Yarrowia lipolytica: one gene and its partners. The protein of the gene in region 3 interacts with the protein of the main gene of each other region in a pairwise test. Links are inferred from orthologs where the notes say so. Each region holds a gene or a part of one and is shown on either strand. Other genes may lie near its edges. The genes, in order: YALI1_C00739g, YALI1_F27929g and YALI1_B30146g.

What was found.
Region 1: the proteins of YALI1_B30146g (region 3) and YALI1_C00739g interact in a two-hybrid assay, tested with the Saccharomyces cerevisiae proteins (2 studies listed by BioGRID). The link is inferred for Yarrowia lipolytica from reciprocal best matches to the Saccharomyces cerevisiae genes PBP1 and PAB1.
Region 2: the proteins of YALI1_B30146g (region 3) and YALI1_F27929g interact in a two-hybrid assay, tested with the Saccharomyces cerevisiae proteins (2 studies listed by BioGRID, with this or other methods). The link is inferred for Yarrowia lipolytica from reciprocal best matches to the Saccharomyces cerevisiae genes PBP1 and DHH1.

What each region holds. Positions count from the first base shown.
Region 1 is NC_090772.1:70,817-77,968, reverse strand, and holds YALI1_C00739g (uncharacterized protein), read right to left. Parts: upstream 3,996-7,152; coding exon 2,058-3,995; downstream 1-2,057. Other genes in the region: YALI1_C00772g (uncharacterized protein), read right to left, coding at 229-681; YALI1_C00766g (uncharacterized protein), read left to right, coding at 830-949, 1,281-1,451; YALI1_C00710g (uncharacterized protein), read left to right, coding at 6,862-6,867, 6,912-7,152. UniProt on the Saccharomyces cerevisiae protein: Binds the poly(A) tail of mRNA. Appears to be an important mediator of the multiple roles of the poly(A) tail in mRNA biogenesis, stability and translation.
Region 2 is NC_090775.1:2,789,983-2,796,506, reverse strand, and holds YALI1_F27929g (uncharacterized protein), read left to right. Parts: upstream 1-3,576; coding exon 3,577-5,145; downstream 5,146-6,524. Other genes in the region: YALI1_F27945g (uncharacterized protein), read right to left, coding at 901-1,974; YALI1_F27904g (uncharacterized protein), read left to right, coding at 6,071-6,524. UniProt on the Saccharomyces cerevisiae protein: ATP-dependent RNA helicase involved in mRNA turnover, and more specifically in mRNA decapping by activating the decapping enzyme DCP1.
Region 3 is NC_090771.1:3,011,048-3,018,198, forward strand, and holds YALI1_B30146g (uncharacterized protein), read right to left. Parts: upstream 3,623-7,151; coding exon 1,553-3,622; downstream 1-1,552. Other genes in the region: YALI1_B30123g (uncharacterized protein), read right to left, coding at 1-1,299; YALI1_B30162g (uncharacterized protein), read right to left, coding at 4,492-5,169; YALI1_B30163g (uncharacterized protein), read left to right, coding at 5,292-5,308, 5,374-5,575; YALI1_B30181g (uncharacterized protein), read right to left, coding at 5,767-7,083; YALI1_B30182g (uncharacterized protein), read left to right, coding at 7,120-7,151. UniProt on the Saccharomyces cerevisiae protein: Involved in pre-mRNA polyadenylation. May act to repress the ability of PAB1 to negatively regulate polyadenylation. Negative regulator of poly(A) nuclease (PAN) activity.

The DNA of each region.
Region 1 (7,152 bases), on a different chromosome or scaffold from region 3:
GTCAATCGGCTAATGACCAGTACAGTAAGTGCTTGAGGCTTGAGGGGCAACTTCCACTTCTACAGCAGCAAAACACAAGGCCATCTCCAACTTGCAGTCTGCGGCTTCCATTTGGCCTAACAGCTCCGGCTCCATCAGAAACCCTGCAACCTTCAAGGGGTACAATGTCCAACCTCCGTTTTACGACCTCTGTTTGGTGGGGGCATGCTCAATAAATTACTCTAATCTCTACGCCTTGGCGTACTCCTTGGTCCAGTCCCGGGCAGTCTGAATAGCAGTCTTCTCGTCCTCCTTCCACTTTTGTGCCACGTCATTGGCGAGCGGGTCGTCAGGATTGGGAGCTCCAAGCAGCGCCTGGATGGACAGCAGAATGGTTCGGATCTGCAAAGCAGGCGACCAGTTGGACTTGAGCACGTCCAGACAGATTCGGCCAAGTCGATCAATGTTGGGGTGGTAGATTTTGGTCAGAAATCGCACCTTGGGGGGCACCATGGGGTAGTCTTCGGGCAGAAAGAGCTCCAGCTTGAAAGTACCGCCCTCGTAGGGGGAAGAGGTAGGCCCGTCGATAGTGACGTCGAAGTACCGCAGGTTGTCGTCGTGGGGTGCAGCGGAGATTCCCGGCACGGGCTCCTTGACGAGCCGCTCGGTCTCCTTGCTGATTCTCTTGGGAAGGGCGTTCATTGGGGGTGTATTGAAGATGCTAACAATGTACGCACAGTGGTTGAGATAACCGTGATATTGGGAGAGACAGCCCTAACCCTACTATACGATATGAAATGCAAGCCACAGGCGAGGCGAAAAAAAGTAGACACTATCCCGCACAACCACAATGATCACCAAGATCCCAAAAACAGGCGCCACTTTCAACAGCAGATTCGTTGCTCTGTCGATAGGACTCACTTTCGGGGCCGTCTGGGGAGTGTGGCTTATGAACAAGAATTATGTTCTGGTGAGTATGACAGTAGGAGGTAGCTGAGGGCGCAGCCCGAGAGCTAATGACCAAGGACTTTCTGCGGCAGATCAAGGACTTCCAAGAAAAATCAAGACTCCAAGAAAATCAAGGGATGCTAGACAGAACTTCTGGACATTACTTTCCGATTGTAGTGGTAAGGAGACGACCGAAGCCTTGACCCCAGTGTGGCAACACAGACAGTTGTTGCAGCGAAAGTTGGTGAATCAGCTCATGGAGTTCATTTGTTCTCGTGGGATTGACCTTTGGAAACCTATCCTGGTCGTCATGCTAGCTTTACGCTTACCACTCTCAGTATCAACTAACCCAGGTGGAGAAAATTGAACCCGAGGAGAAACCCAAGGGCTTTTCGATCAAGTTTGTGGATGCCACTCCTCTTAAATCAAAGAAACAGCTCATACAGGAGCGAGCCGAAGAGATCCGGCAGCAAGAGGCAGATAGTATTACTTCGTTCCTCGTTCAGTCCGATGAAAAGAAGTGACCACCTTGAGCGACAGGAAGAAATGACCACAACCGCTTTCACAACAGATGTATATATTAATTTATGATATGAGTTTCCGACTCGATAGTCCTTTGATGAGCCATTGTACTAGTACAGTATTGGACGACTGCCTTATGTACACCGTCTTTCATGATCTACTCTACACCCAAAGCCCATGTTGATTTGGTCTTGGTGTCGAACAGGGATATATTCGTGATTTGAGAGAATTGCACCATTTCCCCCGTTGAAATCTTTAGTTGAGATTAGTGATATTGAGAATACTGCTGCGACTACAATACTATACATACGTATGCACACTATATCGCAGCACCTTTGTCGTCGTTGAACACTCCCAGAATCAACTGTATCGCAATTCCCAGACCACTTTAGTATTGCAACATGCGCACTGTGAATCCATTGGTGGTAACATATTTCCAATTGACCAACAACAACGTTAGTTACAAACCAATTACCAATGGCCTCAATCATGACTCTCTATAATTCATCTACAAGTACATACTCACTGCTATGCAAGTGGTACTGCTCGGGTTTTGGCTCACTACTTGGCTTATCCTTATCACATAATCCACACATTTTATTACACAATTACTCCTCCTTCTGAGAGTTGAGGTACTCGTTGTAGGCGGTGATGGCGTCGTTGATCTGAGCCTGGAGACCCTCCTCGTCGTCAATGACCTCGAGAATCTCCTTGATGGGCATCTCGAGCAGCATACCGGTGATCTTACCGGCAAACTCGGCGTTACCATCAATGGCCTTCTCAGCGAGAACCTTGGGGTACAGAGCCTCACCAACGAGCTGCTTGTGCTGCTCCTCAGGAGCGTTCTCAAGAGCGTTAGAAATGGAGTCGGCAACTCGGGACTCACCGTCCTTTCGTCGGGGAGCACCTCGGAACTGACCCTGGGGACCGGGCTGGCCGGATCGGGGAGGCTGGCCGCCTCGCATGGGGCCCTGGGGAGGGAAACCACCCTGCTGGTAGCCCTGAGGAGGAGCGCCGTACATGTTGGGGCCACCGGGAACACCTCGGGGAGGGAACTGGTTCTGGGGAGGCATGGGGGGTCGCATCATCATCTGGGGGTTAGCACCAAAAGGCATTCCACCTCGTCCAGGAGGCATGAAGCCGGGCTGGCCGGGGTAGAAGACACCGGGGTTGCCCATGTACTGGCCGGGGAGACCACCAGCGGCAGCCTGCTGCTGGAGTCGCATCTGGTTCTTGGCCTGGATCTGCTGCTGGAGCTGAGATCGTCGGACGTCCTTTCGCTGGGCAAGGACAACGTACAGAGGCTTGCCGGCAACAAGTCGGTGGTTCATCTCAGTGACAGCCTTGGTGGCCTCCTCGGGAGAGGAGTAGCAGACGAAACCGAAGCCCTTGGACTTACCAGCCTCGTCAACCATGACCTTAGCAGAGGTGATGGTTCCGTGGGGGGCAAACTCGGCTCGCAGCTTGTCGTCGTCAATGGTGTCATCGAGGTTCTTGATGTACAGGTTGACGCCCTGGTACTTGTTGAGCTTCTCAAGTCGAGAGGCCTCGTACTGCTTTCGGAGCTCGTCGGCTCGCTCATACTTCTTCTTGGCTCGGCCGGCGAAGAGCTTGTTTCCCTTGAACTCAGTCTCGGACAGACCGTCGATGGCCTTGACGGCAACGTCGTGCTCCTTGTAGTCGACGAAACCAAAACCGGTGGGCTTGCCCTCGTCATTGGTGGAGAGGTGGACAGAGGAGGTCTCTCCGAACTTGTTGACGAGCTCCTCAAACTCAGCCTCGGTGATCTCGGTACCAAGGTTCTTGATGAACACGTTGGTGAAGGAGTTCTTCTGCTCCTCGAAAGACTGCATTCGATCAGACTTGGGGACGTGGGGACCAACGAAGACCTTCTTGTCGTTCAGAAGCATACCGTTGACGTGCTGGATGGCAGACTCGGCAGACTCGGCAGACTCGTAGTGGACGAATCCGAAACCTCGAGAGTTGCCAAACTCATCGGTGGCAATCTTGCAGGACAGAATCTGGCCAAAGGCAGAGAAGGTGTCGTGCAGAGCCTTGTTGTCAATGGCAGGGTCCAGGTTCTTGATGTAGATGTTGCCGGCTCCGGTCTTTCGCAGAGCAGGGTCTCGCTGAGACCACATGATTCGGCAGGGTCGCTCCTTGATGGGGGAGTAGTTGAGCTCCTCAAGAGCTCGGATACCGTCAGCCTGGTTGTGGAAGTTGACGTAGGCGTATCCAAGAGATCGTCGGGTGATGGCGTCTCGGCACACTCGGACGGAGGTAACGGGGCCAATGGGGTTGAAGATCTCAAACAGCATGGCCTCGGTAACGGAGGGATCAAGCTCTCCGACGTAGAGGGAGGCGTTGTCGCCCTGGTCCTCCTTGGAGCCCTTCTCCTCGGAGGACTCAGTCTTGGCCTCTCCCTCAGCGGGGGCAGCCTCAGTGGTGGTCTCCTCCTTGGTGGCAGGGGAGGCCTCGGCCTTGTTCTCGAGGGTCATCTTCTCGAGAGCCTTCTCGGCAGCAACAAGAGAAGCGTCAGCAGACATTGTTGAGAACAGAAATTAAACTAGGAAACGTAAGCGAATACTTCCTAAGAAAAAAAAGGGTGGCTTTGTGGTTAAGAGACACAAAAGCGCGGGGGGCGAGAAAGTTGGATTTTTTTTTGCTTTTTGGATTTTATGAGACTAATAGATACCGAGCGGGGGGTGATCTATTGTTGTCTGTCTTTTTTTGGGGTTTTGGAGGTCGTCAACAACGAGTGGTCGTTTGTCGAAGATGGTTGTGTTGTGGGATATGTAGAACGTCACCTGCAGAAAGCAGAAAAAAATGGCCTTGGGAAAAATCTTCATGTAACAATTTTAAGCTTTATGGCCGTATTGGGAAAGCACGTGATGGGCCACAACTCCAATGTAGCCGTAACAGTATGGCCAATGGGCGGATCCAACACTCTAGCGGTGTTTTAGTGGACAGTGTTCGTTGGTGGCAACGTCCCCTTCAATCCTGAACGCTGAAATCGTCTCTCTCCACTTCCAAAGTCTCCTGAGTTTTAACTACCATTCTATAGTGGTGAGGTTACGTGCCGGGTAACTGGAGGCTTACAAGTGAAAACTTTGGGGCCCACACAGACGACGCCAAAAAAAAAATTTGATGCATGCTGCAGTAACACATGCAGTATGTACACTCACGTACAGCGTAAGTTGGGTAATCCAAAAAACAAATAGCGATGCCCGGTTTCGATCCGGGGACATCAGGGTTATGAGCCCTGCGCGCTTCCGCTGCGCCACATCGCTGATAATTTTTAAAAATTGTAAATTAGCCCCAATCCATGGTGAAAAATGCGGATTTACACCCTAACCCTTGGTTTCCTGATCTGGACACCAAAGGTCCACCCTATAAAACAACACTCACGTTCTACAGTAGCAGCTTATGATAAGACTGTGGGGTAGATAAAGGGCTACCAAGACAAAAGGGAACTAATTTTGGCTAGAATTATGAATCTTTAAATTGCTGCTGTACCATTGGGCTCTTGGTTGCTCTTGGAATCTCCACAGTCTCGATTTCAGTTCTGCGTCTGATTCTGTTGGAATGAATTGAGACAGCACTACATACGGGTATCTACGACGAGGGTCATTGTTGTGATGTTACTGCAGTTGCCAATCGTCAAAATGGTTCTAAATTTAGCATCGTACAGAGCAATTTTATTTGTAGAGTACGCAGAGTACGTTGTAGTTGGGTGAGATGGGTGGAATGTGGAAAGATCGTGGGTCTATTTATGGAAGTCTGAGGACCTCACACACAAGGACGTTCCTGTATTGAACTCTACTGTACTGTAGGCTAAATACTACAAGTAGATGCAAGTAAAGAGGAGGGCTATGGAAAAGCGCAGTAATGTACGATACTCGTCGGTGCGATACGGTACAGTATTGGCTTAGATGAGTTTGTCATTTGCAGACTCTGACGGATCAGACGAGCTACTTTCTTTTGGTTTCTGACAGCTGAAAGAATCATGACGTTGGTTAGTGCCAGCGGAAACGACAGGAGGTAGACCCTGAAGAGGTGTCACAAAGTTATCAGATCAATCTCCCCTTCTCCGCCATCTGAGTGAGTGCTCCTACACGTACGGTACTCCACTCACCCTGCATCATCTATTTTTATCTCTCTTCGGCGAGATTGCATTCCCTTTGCTGATGTCGACTTCCCACTCTGTCAAGTCCAGGGCAAATTAACTCACTGCGCGCGAGCGCGGCAGACGCGTGTCGAGCACTGCATTCTCGTCTCGTAAAACCATGTTAGGCTGCATGCGGATGAGTTGAAATGTGCAGCTTCCGATGAAACGGTTGAAACGGTCGTGTTACAGGTTGTAGGGTCTGAGTGCGGCTCATCAGGAAAACAGAACGAGGAACAAGAGACACATTTGCCTCGTTTCGTCAGTTTTGGGGCTGTGTTCATGGCCCGGGGAGCGTCTAAATCGCCCCATGGAATGTTCGTAATTGAAGTTTCCGCAAGCAGTAGCACTGTGGAACGGACGATACAAGAACTGATACTCGTACTGTACCTCAGGCTCGTTGGCTTAGTCAGATTCCATTGCCACAAACGCATCCCACACAGGCCAAAATCGTACCTTTCAGCCGTGGACTCTCACTACTGTACTTGCACGGGTACGTATGATCTCACCGCCCACAGGTTGACTAACTGCTTGTCTGCATGACGTAATGCCAACGGCAGAGGCAGATCCAACAACGGTCAAAGGTAGAGCCAAGGAAGGGGCTCATTTTCTGAGCCAGCAGTCTAACCGAGGGCTAGGGGTCGGGGCGGAAGCAGAGCCGAGGGGTAAACGCTGTGAGTAAGCATCATAGCAAGGTTTGTATAGCAATATAACATGTTCTGACTAGTTGCTATTGCGGTAGGCGGGTCATGTCGCCTCTACCGATTCCCCCCAGGGCCACGGCTAGCTACTTGGAGACTAGCTATCAGATCTTCGGCAGTCAATGCATCCGCCAAAATATGATTGGTAAAGTTGCATGCTATCTCCGTGATATATACCCCTAAAGATGCCAGGACAAAGCCGCCACGTGTAGCGCATGGAACACTGCATGGCAGCTGGAAGCACACTGGCTCCTTATGGCGCGAATGCGAGGATCCGAGAGCGTCTTGTAGGTGGAACATGGGCGTTTGGATGCCGAGAAATGTGGTGCTAGCCATGTCCCCATTGTCCTGACGTCTAAAACCACTGTCAAAATCAGTATTTACCGGTGCCCCCCAAACCCCTCCGACAGTCCCAAATACCTCTATTTAGCTCCAACAAAAATTTTACCACTGATAAACTCAAATAGTTAGGCCGGAATGCCCTCTCGGACTTCACTATGTGGTAGAGTTCAGAGTCAGGTGGCTGGTGCGCGGTATTAAGAGTATATGAGAGTTAGTGCACTCCGGCTGAACAGACAACGCCGACAGAGACCCAGTATAGCTCAGACTTTCTCTTTTCACACCACGATTGTTTCTTTTCCACCGGGCCATTTCGCAGCTTGAGCCCGACCGCAGACTACACAGCCGTCATCTTTGAGACGCCCTTGAAACGTGCTACGGATTACAGTGAGTATGGCAGGATACCTGGCCCTCGAGGCCCCCGTCTTGCGGCTTTATGCCCGAGAGAGATACTGAGCGGCAGGAGGGTGGCAATATGGAGACAGACCGACTCGGTGA
Region 2 (6,524 bases), on a different chromosome or scaffold from region 3:
ATTGATGAAAGATGACTATGACTGTGAAGACCTGCCGACCCGAGGTCTACCAAAAGAATCAAGTGCGGGGATGCGTCTACATACTGGTGCTGGCATTGTATGTGACTGTATGATATCGATCTGGTGTTGTATCTACTCTTCGAATAATGCTGTAAAAGCTTTGACTTGTGGCTGTCCAAGCGACTGAGGACGTCTGATTGACGCTCTTGTAGCTACAGTACAAGTACATGGTACAATTTAATATAAGTATCGTACAAGTTGCCACCAGTAACTTGGAAATTATCGAAGCTAACTGTCACCCACTGCAACTCACGAGCGATCTCAACATACAGTAGCTACGCAGACCGCCCACTTTCATCTCAGACACTACGTTACGACCATTATTCAATCTTCGTAAGCGCCTGAGACACCGCTAAGACACTGTACATTCCTGTTCACGATAACTGCCAGCAAAGCACTATTCTCGCCGCCGGATTATTCCCATTAGTATAACACACACAACACAGTAGTTTCCCGCCGATCAGCTTTACGTCACTACGATACCAACCTCTTCTCTTGTTCTGGCCCCACTGCCCACTAATCCCATCATCTCCACCAAAACACCCCATTAAGCTCTTATCTACCTCCACTATATGCCTGTCGCCGAGACTGATCGACACGGCCAGCGGACATCAGACATGCTTGTAGTCTGGAGACCTACATTTCGGTAATGACTTGTAGACTTTCCAAAAGAAGTCGCTTTCTCTCCACCACCACCTCCCGAGCTACCATCTCCTCACCATTCCACTTACAAAACAACATCAATGACAATGCTTACTATATGATTTATTTTGGAAACGTCCACTCTATGCACCAAACAACATGCTTCTCTCCTCTCCTCAGAGTCTTCTCTTCACCCTTCTACTGCACGCTCATGGCCCAGGCCTTCATGTCAACCTGCTTGGCCCGAGACGTGATGATAAAGGCATCGTTGATGAGCTGCTGAGGGGAAGGACGCTCGGCCTCCTTATACAGACACCGGTCGACAAACCGTCTGCACACGGGCGAGAACCTGGTGTCTTCTGCCGGCAGGGTTGGCGGAGGTTCGTTGACGATTCGCTGCAGCAGATCAAGAATACCCATGGGTCCCACAGCTCCGTTAGCCATGTCAAAGGGGAACTTTCCCAGCAGCAACTCCAGCAGCGAGATGCCAAGCGACCACACGTCGGACTTGACAGTGTAGTTTCCTCCCTGGATTCGTTCGGGTGACATGTACGTTGAGGTGCCAACAAAGGTGTCTGCGATGGAGTTGATGAGCTCGCCAGACACTCCAAAGTCGCACAGCTTGATCTGGCCATGGGAGTTGACGAGAATGTTGGACGGCTTGACGTCTCTGTGGACGATGCGGTGCTCGTTGTATAGATACGTTAGGCCCTCGACGACGGCCACGGTGATATGGCCGACAATCTCTTCGGTCAGCGGGCCGGCCTTCTTGTAGATGCGGTCCAGTGAGCCGCAGTCCATAAACTCCATGCACATGACCACGTCGCCGGACGACTCGTTGATGAAGGCGCCGTAGAAGGAGACAATGTAGGGCGAGTCGCACTCGTGCATAATGTGCAGCTCCCGCAAAATCTGGCGTCGCACGGCCTCCTTTGCCTCGATATGGATCACCTTCTTGGCCATGACGGCACCAGTGGGGATGTGTTCCACCCGGGAGACGGACCCGCCGTTGCCTGCGCCCAGCTCCTGTATGGTGCGCAGATCCTGAGCCCGGATGTCGATTTTGAACTCCACGCCCAGCTCCAGCGATGCCATTTGGCTTATCAGGTTGCCTGCTGAGGGCGCTCTCTGGAGCGTGGGTTTGTCGAGGGTGAAGGGCTGTGATGGCGGAGGGGAAGCTGTTGCCTGGGGCGCCACTCCGGCGTCGGCGTTGAGTGACAGCTTCTTGAAGTTTTTGCGCTTCAGCGTCTTGGGTTTGAGGTCGACAGACATGTTCACACGATGGACAATGTACCGTTTTTATCGGTCTATTGTCTGGCAGGTTGAAGGTTGTGGTTTTACCGTACGTTGGGAGAGACGCTACGCGTTGGCGATGCGCTTGGTGCAGACCTTGGCCGAATGGGGAAGTGGTTGTGGATGGATGGGGTGTGGGTGCAAAAGGCTACAAGTAGGGGGGTTGGGGCATGTGGCTTGATATATATATATCGGAGTTAATTATTTTGTGCAAGTTGCCAGGTGGCCGGGACAAATGGGGCAACGACGATCTCTGAACACAAGAGTCCACACACATCTGTATCGTTCCGGCACCAGTAGCTACTCTGCCATCGCTCAGCTCATGCCACTACGATACTTATACTTGGAGCTAACCTTGATTGAAAATGGGAGGGCAATTTCCGAGGTAATACCACCCACGTACAGTATGTACTCTTGACGCCGTGACCTTGGCCCACATTCGAGCTGCACTGCACTGCCTGAACCGGACGAGAGAGTCCAAATGGGCCGTCGTTATGGTTGGGTATGAGACTTGGAACACTGGAAGCAGTGTTTCGATGTGTTTGGTGGGAGGTATCAGCGTTCTGTTGTCGATGTGGATCAGTGATACTAAAGTAATCACACTTGTACTTTTAGCTTAGATGGGTGACAAAATGGTGATTTCTAGCGCGTACAAGTATCGCGATGTACTTCTCTCTGCTAGCTGATGAAGAGACAGCATCTGTGACCACTGTACCGACAGTATCTGCGACTACAAGTATCTGTTCAGCACACATGCTCGTACCGTACAAGTACACCTTTCTATACCTTCGATGAGGTTCGCGTGGATAATTTAATGGAAGTATATCTGTTTTGCTGAAGGGGGAAATGGGCTGCGTGTGTGGGAGCAATATTACATACATCTGACTGTTCAGACGTTGGACGAGACAGTCATAATATGTGCCCCATTACAGGTTGAGGTGAAGCGCGTGTATGGGGGAAAACCAGCGGATGATCGTCCCATCTTCGTCATTTCACTCGTTTACACTACAAGTGATATCTTCACTCATTCTCTGCTCTGCTCCTCTCCAAGCCACCGTCGTGCCCAGACAAAGTTCGTCAACCGGGTAAGTGGCGAGCTGTAATAGGTGTGCAGGTGAGGATAGAGACAGAAAAGGGTTACGACAGCAAAAAAACAGAGGGAGCCAGCAAAATGACAAACGTGGAAAAGAGAGATAACAAAAAAAGGACCTCTTTATATAACTACGTAGCAAACCAACACCACATTCTCCATGTCAAGGTGGCCTGGAGTCCTCCTCCCCACGGTCACGGACACTCCAACTTACCCTTCCCAATGAATCCACACCCCAGTAAAGTTTTCAATACACCCACAACCAGCCGACAATCTCTTCTTTCTCCCCTACCTCCAATACAGCCAACTGTTTTATTGCCATCCATCACAGAACACCAGAACACAAACATATCTGGAGTTTTCTAATCGACAATTGACACCTACACTGTTCCATCGCAGGTCCCTACTTCTGAGTTTCCGGATATCCATACTTCCCGTTTGCCCACGACACGCACCACGACACCGCACCACCCCACATTTTACACAAAAACATGTCTGAGTGGAAAGAGTCGTTAAACGTGCCCAAAAAGGACACGCGTCACAAAACCGAAGATGTGACCGCCACAAAGGGTACAGGGTTCGAGGACTTTTTCCTCAAACGAGAGCTGCTCATGGGCATCTTTGAAGCAGGATTCGAAAACCCCTCGCCCATTCAGGAAGAGGCGATCCCCATTGCCCTCGCAGGCCGAGATATTCTGGCCCGAGCCAAGAACGGAACCGGCAAGACCGCCGCGTTTGTGATCCCAGCCCTCCAGCAGGTCAACCCCAAAGTTAACAAGATCCAGGCGCTTATCATGGTGCCCACCCGAGAGCTGGCACTCCAGACCTCACAGGTTTGCAAGACCCTAGGCAAGCATCTTGGCATCAAGGTCATGGTCACCACCGGTGGCACCAACCTCAGAGACGACATTATGCGTCTGGAAGACACGGTACACGTGTTGGTCGGCACTCCCGGCCGAGTGCTGGATCTAGCAGGAAAGGGCGTCGCTGATCTCAGCGAGTCGCCCATGTTTATTATGGACGAGGCCGACAAGTTGCTGTCGCCGGACTTCACACCCATCATCGAGCAGGTGCTCCATTTCTTCCCTGAGGACCGTCAGATCCTGCTCTTCTCCGCCACCTTCCCTCTGACTGTCAAGGCCTTTATGGACCGAAACCTGCACAAGCCTTACGAAATCAACCTGATGGACGAGCTGACCCTAAGAGGTATCACGCAGTACTACGCCTTTGTCGACGAGAAACAGAAGCTGCATTGTCTCAACACGCTCTTTTCTAAGCTCGACATCAACCAGTCCATCATTTTCTGCAACTCCACTGTGCGAGTTGAGCTACTTGCCCGAAAGATCACTGAGCTGGGATACTCATGTTACTACTCCCACGCCAAGATGATCCAGAGCCATCGAAACCGAGTCTTCCATGAGTTCCGAAACGGCACGTGCCGAAACCTCGTCTGTTCCGATTTGCTTACCCGAGGTATCGATATCCAGGCCGTCAACGTGGTCATCAACTTTGACTTCCCTAAGAACGCCGAGACCTATCTCCATCGAATTGGTCGATCTGGACGATTTGGCCATCTCGGTATTGCCATCAACCTCATTAACTGGAACGACCGATACAACCTGTACAAGATTGAGCAGGAACTTGGAACTGAGATCAAGCCCATCCCTGCCCAGATCGACAAGAACCTCTACGTTGCCGAGTCCAGCGAGAACATCCCCCGACCCTTCCCCATTGCTGATATGCCTCGAGGCAAGGAGAGTAAGCGAAACGAGCAATTCCAGCCCCAGCAGAACCAGAACCAGCAGCAGCAACAGGACGGTCAAAACCAGCACTCTCTGGGTCCCGTACCTCCCCAGGGTCCTCCTCAGGGCATTCCCGGCCCCGGATACGGCTACCCTCCTCCTCAGGGCTTCCCTCAGGGAATGCCTCCTCAGGGAATGCCTCCTCAGGGAGCCGGCGGCTACATGCCCCCTACTCCCTATGGTTACCAGCAGCAGGGCTTCCCTCCTCAGCCGCCACAGGGCTTCAACAATGGCCAGCCCCAGCAGCCGTCGCAGTAAGAACGCGAGCCTGAAAAAAGCGATTACAATCTTCCTTTGGTTTTTTGTGTACGGTTTTTGTGGGTTATCTTTCCCACTTTCCGCCATATTTTTCCAACCCTTTTTTTTTGACCTTTTTTTCGTCTCTGGGGTATATAGCAATATGATATTCTAGTTGGTGACTGATGAAACGTTGTACTGTAGCTACAAGTGTGGTTCAGTCGAATGCCGTGGGTACCCGAACATGTATAAGTAAGATCATGGCTCTGGTACGGCTACTGTAAAAGTCTATCTCCAGAAATGCATGAAATGTATCCTGGGCCACTGCGAGAAGCATGGGACCCGAGTAGACCGTGTGCGCGAGATCTATTGCAGGTGCAGCCAATACGTGAGTCACGGTCGCTCTGTAGAGTGTAGATTGGTTTTGTATCTTTGGTGTAAGCCGCTTACCAGGATGCTACAAGTAGGGTAGTCTTGTGTCAGATCAAAATGTGTGGCTGCTCTGTGCCAAAAATTTGACTACTAAGCTTTTGGGATTGGGTATGACTTATTGGCCATCATTCGTGAGTGAAGCATTTTTACTGTCTGGGGACACTGCAGAGCTATGCAGAATTAGTAGTGGAGAATGCCTACTGGTGCTGTTGCGGGCATTAGGGGGGATGAGGTACGATGTAGGGATAGGTCCGGGCAGGGACTTGCATTAATTGGTCTACAATGTAGGGCGTCGAATCTGGGTAAAAACACACCGAGTATGTGTACGTACATGCCCATGGCCATTGGTGCCTATGGACCCGAGTTACTGACAACGGGTGTCTGTTGCAAAGTGTGAAGCTTAAAAAATATTTTTAATTCGAAAATGGTATCGACGTGCTAAAAGCTCTTTCTACTAACGTCCAGTGTTCACCACCCCACCCACAACACCCCCCCACATCACCCACACACAATCATGAGCCTTCGAATTCTGCTGGTTGGCAACGGTGGCCGAGAGCACGCCCTTGCATGGAAGCTGGCTCAGTCTCCTCTGGTGGAGCGAATCTTTGTTGCCCCCGGAAACGGAGGAACCGACAACCCCCAGGGAAAGATCGAGAACATTGCGATTGGCTCTTCCCAGAAGGACTTCGCCAAGCTCGTCGAGTTTGCCCAGTCCAAGGATGTTGGTCTCGTCATTCCCGGTCCCGAACAGCCTCTGGTCGAGGGAATTGAGACCCACTTCCGAAAGGTTGGTATCCCCGTCTTTGGCCCTTCTGAGAAGGCTGCCGTCATGGAGGGCTCCAAGACTTTCTCCAAGGACTTCATGAAGAAGCACAACATCCCCACCGCCGCGTTTGAGAACTTCACTGACTACAACAAGGCCGTGGACTACGTCAAGAAGGTGGGCCACCGAGTCGTAATCAAGGCTT
Region 3 (7,151 bases):
AGCCATGTATAAAGGAGGTCCCTGGAGAAAGAGTTCTTTATGGGTCGTCTTAAAAGATTCTATTTCTTTTGGCGCTGGCCCTGGTAACGGAACTACTTGTTCGTTCAAAATCGTCGCAAGGTCCGTGGGAGTCACCAGGGGCTCTTCCGATGGGGTATGAAGAGGGAACATGTCGTTGACACGCTTCCATTGAACAGGAATAGGCTCGCGTTCAATATTCATCATGAGTGACCGGTGATATATGTCAAGAAACTCGTTGTATCTTTCGTCAGTCCAAGCCGGGATGTCCACTTCGTCAGTGTAGAGGGGGTCTTGAAAGTAGATCTCAGCCAATTCCGACCAAAGCTTCCAGTATGGAGATTTGATATCCTCGTCGTAACTCTGCCACGACTTGTAATAGGCGATTCTGGCCGCGGTTATTACAAAACTCGCAGTTTCCATAAAACTACTAAACCCTCCGGATGTCGACATGTCGCAGTACTCATCAATATCACATCCCTTTGCAAGGCATATGGTTCGATCTATGATGCCCAACGGAAGCATCAGAACCTCCACGGTGTGCATGATTGGGATTATCTTTGGCTGTGAGATTATGACGCCTTCCCTTGCCAGTGCCTTAGCACATGCAAGAACTCCGCGCCCGAAACTTTGGCTGGATGGTGGTTTCTTCCAGGCACACCAGGAACGCGAGCCCGACATATGCAGACGTGCTTCTTTTGAAGTGAACCTTGCACCCACATCATCATATGGCAGTTCCCCCGACATGATCCATCCCAGTATCTTAATGAATGAAATAGGATAGCCGACTTGAACGAGAGCCAAATACATGATTTCAATGGCCATTTTCTGAGAGAGTAGCAGTGGAGTGCTTGTACCTGTATCGCATGGCTCGGAATGCACTCCACCCTCCAGGTCGTAAGACGATCGTCCGAAGTCGGTATACTTGATCAAGACACTCCACAGTTCCTTCACCACCTCCTCGAAGTCGGTATCCAAATCGAATTTCTGCATGGCCCAGTGTGTGTAAAAGCGAAGCACCTCCTGGAAGATTTGTGCACGAAGCGCATAGACCCGTGAACCAAACCATCGTTGCTCCTCCTTCTCTCCATCTTTCATGGCACTCACCGAACCTATAGTCACCTTTCGTCCTCCACCCAGGTCTCCTTCGTCTTGATTGTCGTATTCATACTCGTCTTGGCGCTGATGACCGTATCTGCAGAAGGTACGACCAGCAGCCGACCGCCACAAGTCCGAGGGACAATTGTCGATGCCACAGACGGGACCCTTTTCCCAATTCATAGTGGTGTGTATGTGTAGCTTTCACTTCATATGAAGAAATGTAAGTACAGTAGGTTGGTGGACGCATCTAGCATGCACGCTTCTCAAGCCTACTTGTACACACTGAAGGCGAACAAGGGGAGCATATAAACACAGTGGAAGCATTTCTGGAAGAAATTCTGGGCATACAGAGCCTGCTATTCTGTTCAGCATTCAAATACCACTAGTTTTGTGTAATCATATATCGACTCATTTTTCTTTATTTCACTACATACTAACCCTGGTATCGCATGTAGCCCTGAGGGGGCTGTCCAGGAGGCATGGGAACTCGGTAACCAGGAGGTCCAAAAGGTTGCTGCACAAATTGGGGGCCATACTGATACATCATGGGCGGTACTCCCTGAGGCATCTGGTAGAACGGCATCATCACGGCTCCGCCCCGCTGGGGAGACATGGCGTTGTGAAGGAAGGGGCGCTGCATGGTCAGTTGCTCTAAGGGAGGGAAAAGAACAGAGGAGTCTGCTGCCGCTTCCACGGTGTGCCAGGTCGGGTGGGTCTCAAATGCTCGAGGGAAGGGGGTGTTTTCGGCCTTGGGTTTCTTGAAGGGGTTGAACAAGGTGCTGAGAGGCGCCCGGTCCGTCTTTGGCGTAGAAGAAAAGAAAGCTGGAGAGCTGGGCTCGGGAGCGGCTGCTGTCGCCAGCTGGGCGTTGGTGTCCTTGGGAGTGAAGGGCTTGAATTCGGGCGCCTTGAAGTTCATCTTGAACTTGGGTTTTGATGGCGACGACTTAGCCACGGGTTCAGGCTTGTTGTCAGCAGCTGTTCCACCATTCTTGTCAGCGGCAGCTGGTGAAGACGACTTTTCGGAGCTCTTGTCGGCCTCCCGGCTCATCTGGATGGACGAGAGCTTGGAGGACAGTGAGTCGAACATGGGCGAAGCCACTCGGTCCAGATGTGCATTGGCCGCCTCGGGGGAAGTGGTCTCGGAAACGTCTCGAGACTTGTCCTTGGCCAGGATGGGACGCAAGTCCTCGGGAACAGGGGTATTGATCTTGTAATCCTGTGAGAACTTGCGCAGGTCGTTGAGCCGGGCGGTATCATGGTGAGTTTTGGCAGCCTCCTTCTGCGACACCATTCGGTTTCGCTCTAAGTCAATGAACTTTTGGTATCGGGACGCCAGCTCCTTCTCGAATCCGGGTTTCTTGGAGGCCGAGGGAGCGGCTGTTGCAGAGGGGTCGTTGAGAGGCAGTCCGGGGATTCGGTTGCGCTTGGGCACTGCAGCCGAGTCCACCAGTTTCTGCTCCAGTCTCGACATGATGTCCGGCTGGGAAGATGTGGGGTTTGGCTTCCTGAGTCCTCCGGCAGAAATGATGGCCGGGTCATGGGGCAGCTCGGCTCGCTGAGAAGGAGGAACATAGGTCTTAGTTCGGTCCACTCCCGAGTACTTGTCTTCCTCGTCCATGCCCGAGTCATCCACCGTGTCTCCTCGCTCCTCTCGCTGATGCGCGTTTCCTCCAGTCTGGCCCTCAATCTCGTCTGCCAATCGCTGGGCCCGTCGCATCTTGGCCTGGTAGTCGGGACCTTCCGTGTTGATACGGGTGGTGTAGAGGTGTTCATCGTAGGTGGAGGGCACTCCAAATCGGTCGGCGTTGACTGCAAACTGGTCCCAGGAGCCCGTGCCCGATTCCTCGAGTGTCAGAGCAGAGGTGGCGGAGTCGGCATCCGGAGTCCATCGCTCCAATTCTCGCTCAGCCACTGCCCGCCGGCCACTGATGTCTGTGTCGGTTCGGAACTTGCGCTGGTCGACCTGTAAGGGCGCGGATAGAGCCACAGCCACGTCGACAATGTCTTCGGGCTGGAAAACCAGCTGCTTGGCCCCCGAGTCAGCAAACCGCATGCTGACTCCCAAGTCGCCCTCAGTGCAGGCTCCCTCCAGCAAGCCGTGGATAGAGTCGCCGGAGGCGGTGGTAACGGTAACGTGTTCACCCACGGACTTGGCTAGCAAAAACAGCAGTCGGTCGTGCATGTGGCGAGCGTGAGTGGGGCTGGGCTCAGGTCGCTTCCACTTGTTGGCCGTCTTCTTATCGCCCCGGTCTCGGTCGGACCGGTCCAAGCGATCGGAGCGGTCAGAGCGGTCCCCTCCCACGGACTTGCGCTGGCGGCTTCCGCTTTGGTTCTTCTTGATCTCTGCCATCTCGTATGGCTGCACACGCCGATGCTTCCTTAGAGTGGTGATGTGGAAGATTGGAAACTCAAATGCGCCCCCCTCGCTGGGACTATTTACTGTACTACGTACGTGATGTTGATGTGACGCATGCAGTGGGGCAACACACAACAGTGCACACATGAAACGAGGTTCAATTTTATGCGAAATATATATATGGGCCGTAACGGGGGCCCCTCAATTACAACTACACAGCGGGAACACCCACCTGAGGTCATATTATTCGATTCCCGTGAACCTAGCCCGAATCTACAAGTAGTCGCTTTTTGGAGTGTGAAATACAGACACAGACTACATACGTATTGCACATACTGTACTTGTACGTACAGTACTGTAGCTGTACGAGTACCGCTAATGTGGTCTCAATTCTGATACAAGTCCACGAGTTTTTCCTGCGTTAGGCAAGAAATATGGGCACACACCTTTTTGCACGGAATATACAGGCTTAATCCGCTCTTAGTTTGGCAAGCACAAAGACCCCAGAACCCTGACCTTACCTATCCCACAGATCCTTAATTTAATCAACCGTTGTCAATACAGTAGCTATCATCATGTCTACTGTATACACTCTCAAGGGATAAGGAACGCGGGAGTTTCACACAGCCAACGCAACATAAGAGTTCATATCATTCCATTATATATCTCGCATACATTCTGCGTGGCAGGTGGTTCCAATTGACCTCAAAAGAACGAGTTTCTAAGACCAATGGACCAGATGAAGGCTACATTATTGGGGCTGGCACACTACCAGTCACGTGCCCATGACTATTTGTACAGTCCATACAGATCGGTAGGTCTGATGTCACTCATCGGGTATGTTCGTCTACATTGCAGCATGAAGTAGTATTGTATAGCAATTAGTTTGATAACATTTCTAATAAATAATTCAATAAATAATTTCTCTACAAATACCGGATGTACTGTGTGAGTACTTGTACTGTAGCTACAGTACGTTGGTGGGCAAGGATGTGTTCACTGGAACTCGCAGTCCTTCACAAGAATTCATCCACCTTCGCAGACACTTCTAGGACTCTCGAATGGTCTAAAATATCAACAATTTTGGTAAGATCTTGATCCAATGGCTCCAGCACTTCCTTATCGATATCTCTCTCACAGTATCGATAGCTGATAGCTGCGTTTTCCTCAGCCACATTCTCCGCACTGCCTTGTAAAAGTGCATGGAGGTTCCCCCTTCGTTCCTCAATCTGGTTGTCCAATTGTAGACTCTTTTGAGCCAGTTTCTGGTGCTGTTCAATAGTTCTGGCCAGCTCGTTTGTCCGGCGACGCGTCACTTCCTGCAGTGCTTCAATCTGCTGTGCCAGCTTGGCTCCGCTGTTTTCAAGCTTTTCCATCTGAGTGTATTGATGTGAAGCGTCGAAATTATTGCCGAGCGACTTCGGCACGGGGAACCGGTCGAGACGTCTCGAAAGACGTCGTTGCAAGTGTCCCAGGTCCTCTGATATCCGCACCTTCTTAGGTTCGCTGTGAGCTCTTGCCAGTATGGGGAAAGTTGCTTCTTCGAGAATAGTTGCAACCTGGAGCCGTTGATCGGTCTCCAGAGGTCTGTTCAGTGCGCTCCTTCGCACCGTTTTTCGCTTCTTCGTCAATTTCGGCTTCATTATCGCGTTCAGTGTGGGTGTCAATGTTAGACACGCACGTCTCATTTTCATTTAGCTTTGGCATCAAGGTTCACTAAGGGCAGGCTCCCGCACATCACCACGCTACAATACAGTAAGTTGGACGTCGAACATCAGAACACACACATCACGCAAAACAACAGACACATCACAAAATGGCCGACATCCCAAGGTGAGTATCTGCTACCACTGCATTGGGTGGCATTGACTACTTGGCTGTCGCAACAACTAACACAGATCCGTTCTCAACAAGCTTGTCTTCTTCACAGCATGCATGATCCTCTTACCGTTGACCTGTTTCTTCACCGCCCAAATGTTCACTGACAATACTCTCATTTCCGGCGGTCTGGCTGCCTTTGTGGCCAACGTTGTTCTCATTGGCTACGTCATCGTGGCCTTTCTGGAGGATGTGCCGGTCGACGAGAAGAAGGAGCAGTAAATGAGGGGGAAGAAATAGGTGACAAAACTGTGGGTTTAGACGGGCGACCTGATTGATTGGATTGATATAATCCATCCATCTACGTTCTATTTATCCCAATCTGATGCTACGTACCAGAGACCGCTACCATACGAAACACACAAATAGATCAGTATAATTTAAATAGTTATTTATACACCTTTGTACAGATTTTAGTAGATGCCTGGGATGATAGCGCTGGGAACAGCCTTCTTGTATTGAACCCAGAGCTCCTTGTACTTCAGAGCACACTTGTGGTCATCTCGCATCTCTCGATGGACCAGCAGCACTCCAAAGTAGGCCACAAAGAAGTAAGGGAAGATGCTCTCGTAACCAGTGGCAAGACACCAGGCCCAAGAAATGAGCCAGTCTCCTAGGTAATTGACATGTCGAGCTGCACCCCACCAGCCACTGACGATGAGCTTGTTGCCCTTGTCGTTCTCAATGTACCTCAGGTGAGGAGCGTCTCCGTGCTTGAACGCATTCTTCTCATTGTTTGAGGCTCGGAAAATGTAGTATCCGGTAGCAAAAAGAGTCACAATGATACCAGCATACCATAGAGGGTACTCAATCGTTCGGGTAGACAGGTATCGGGCCTGAACGGTGTACACAAAGGGGACCCAAGCAAGATCTCCAAAGGCCAGCATGAACCCGAATCCATCAGTGGTGATATCCATCATGTGGATGGCTCCATACTCCTCCCAGTTTCCCTCTACTACATAATAGATCTCCATCAGAACAACAAGTGCCATGGGGAGAGACACAAAGCCCTTGGTGATGTACTCATGGTGAGCCATTGCAAGATTGAGCACAGCCCACAGAAGCAGACCAGGCCGCATCTCGCAAAAGTACTTGATGTCAAAGGAGCCGATTCGGGGGTTAAGCTCTCGGCCAATGAACCAGTCGAAAATGGGGTTTCCAGAATTACCTCCAACAGACAGAATGCAGTCGTGAGTAAAAGAGGCCACGTAGACGTAAGTGGCAACAATAAAGGACCACACAATGGCAGACGTGGCAATCTGGACGTAGTGGTCGTAGCAGAACACAAGTTCGGGCATAGCTCCTCCAGTCTGCACCCATCGAGCAGCCAGAATGACTGCCAATGTGGTCATTACGGTCTTTCCATTCAAATTGTACTTGAGTCGGGTCTTTCCATCTCGCAGAACCACCCCTTCAGCCACGGGGCCAGGCAGGATCAGATCACATGCTGCCAGGGAGAAGAACCAGGTCAGATAGACGCCGAAGACATTGATATCAAACAGAGGCATGGCTCTTAGTTTGGTCATCTCCGCTGACCAGTCAATATTCAGCACACCAGCCACTGTGCAAGACTCTGGAGTGCATCCGATCTGTAGAAACAAGATGAAAAGCGGCAGCGTAAGGGTGATAAAGGTGGCTCCAGGGATTCCAAAGAAGTCGAGGTCCGTGGTCTTGGGGTTTAGTCGCTGGGTTTTGCCGTCAATGACCGTCGTTTTGCTCTTGGCTGTCATTTTTCAAGTGGTGTCTATGCTGTGTGCGAAGACATGATGGACCATCTCGTGTTTATAAAGTCAGTTAG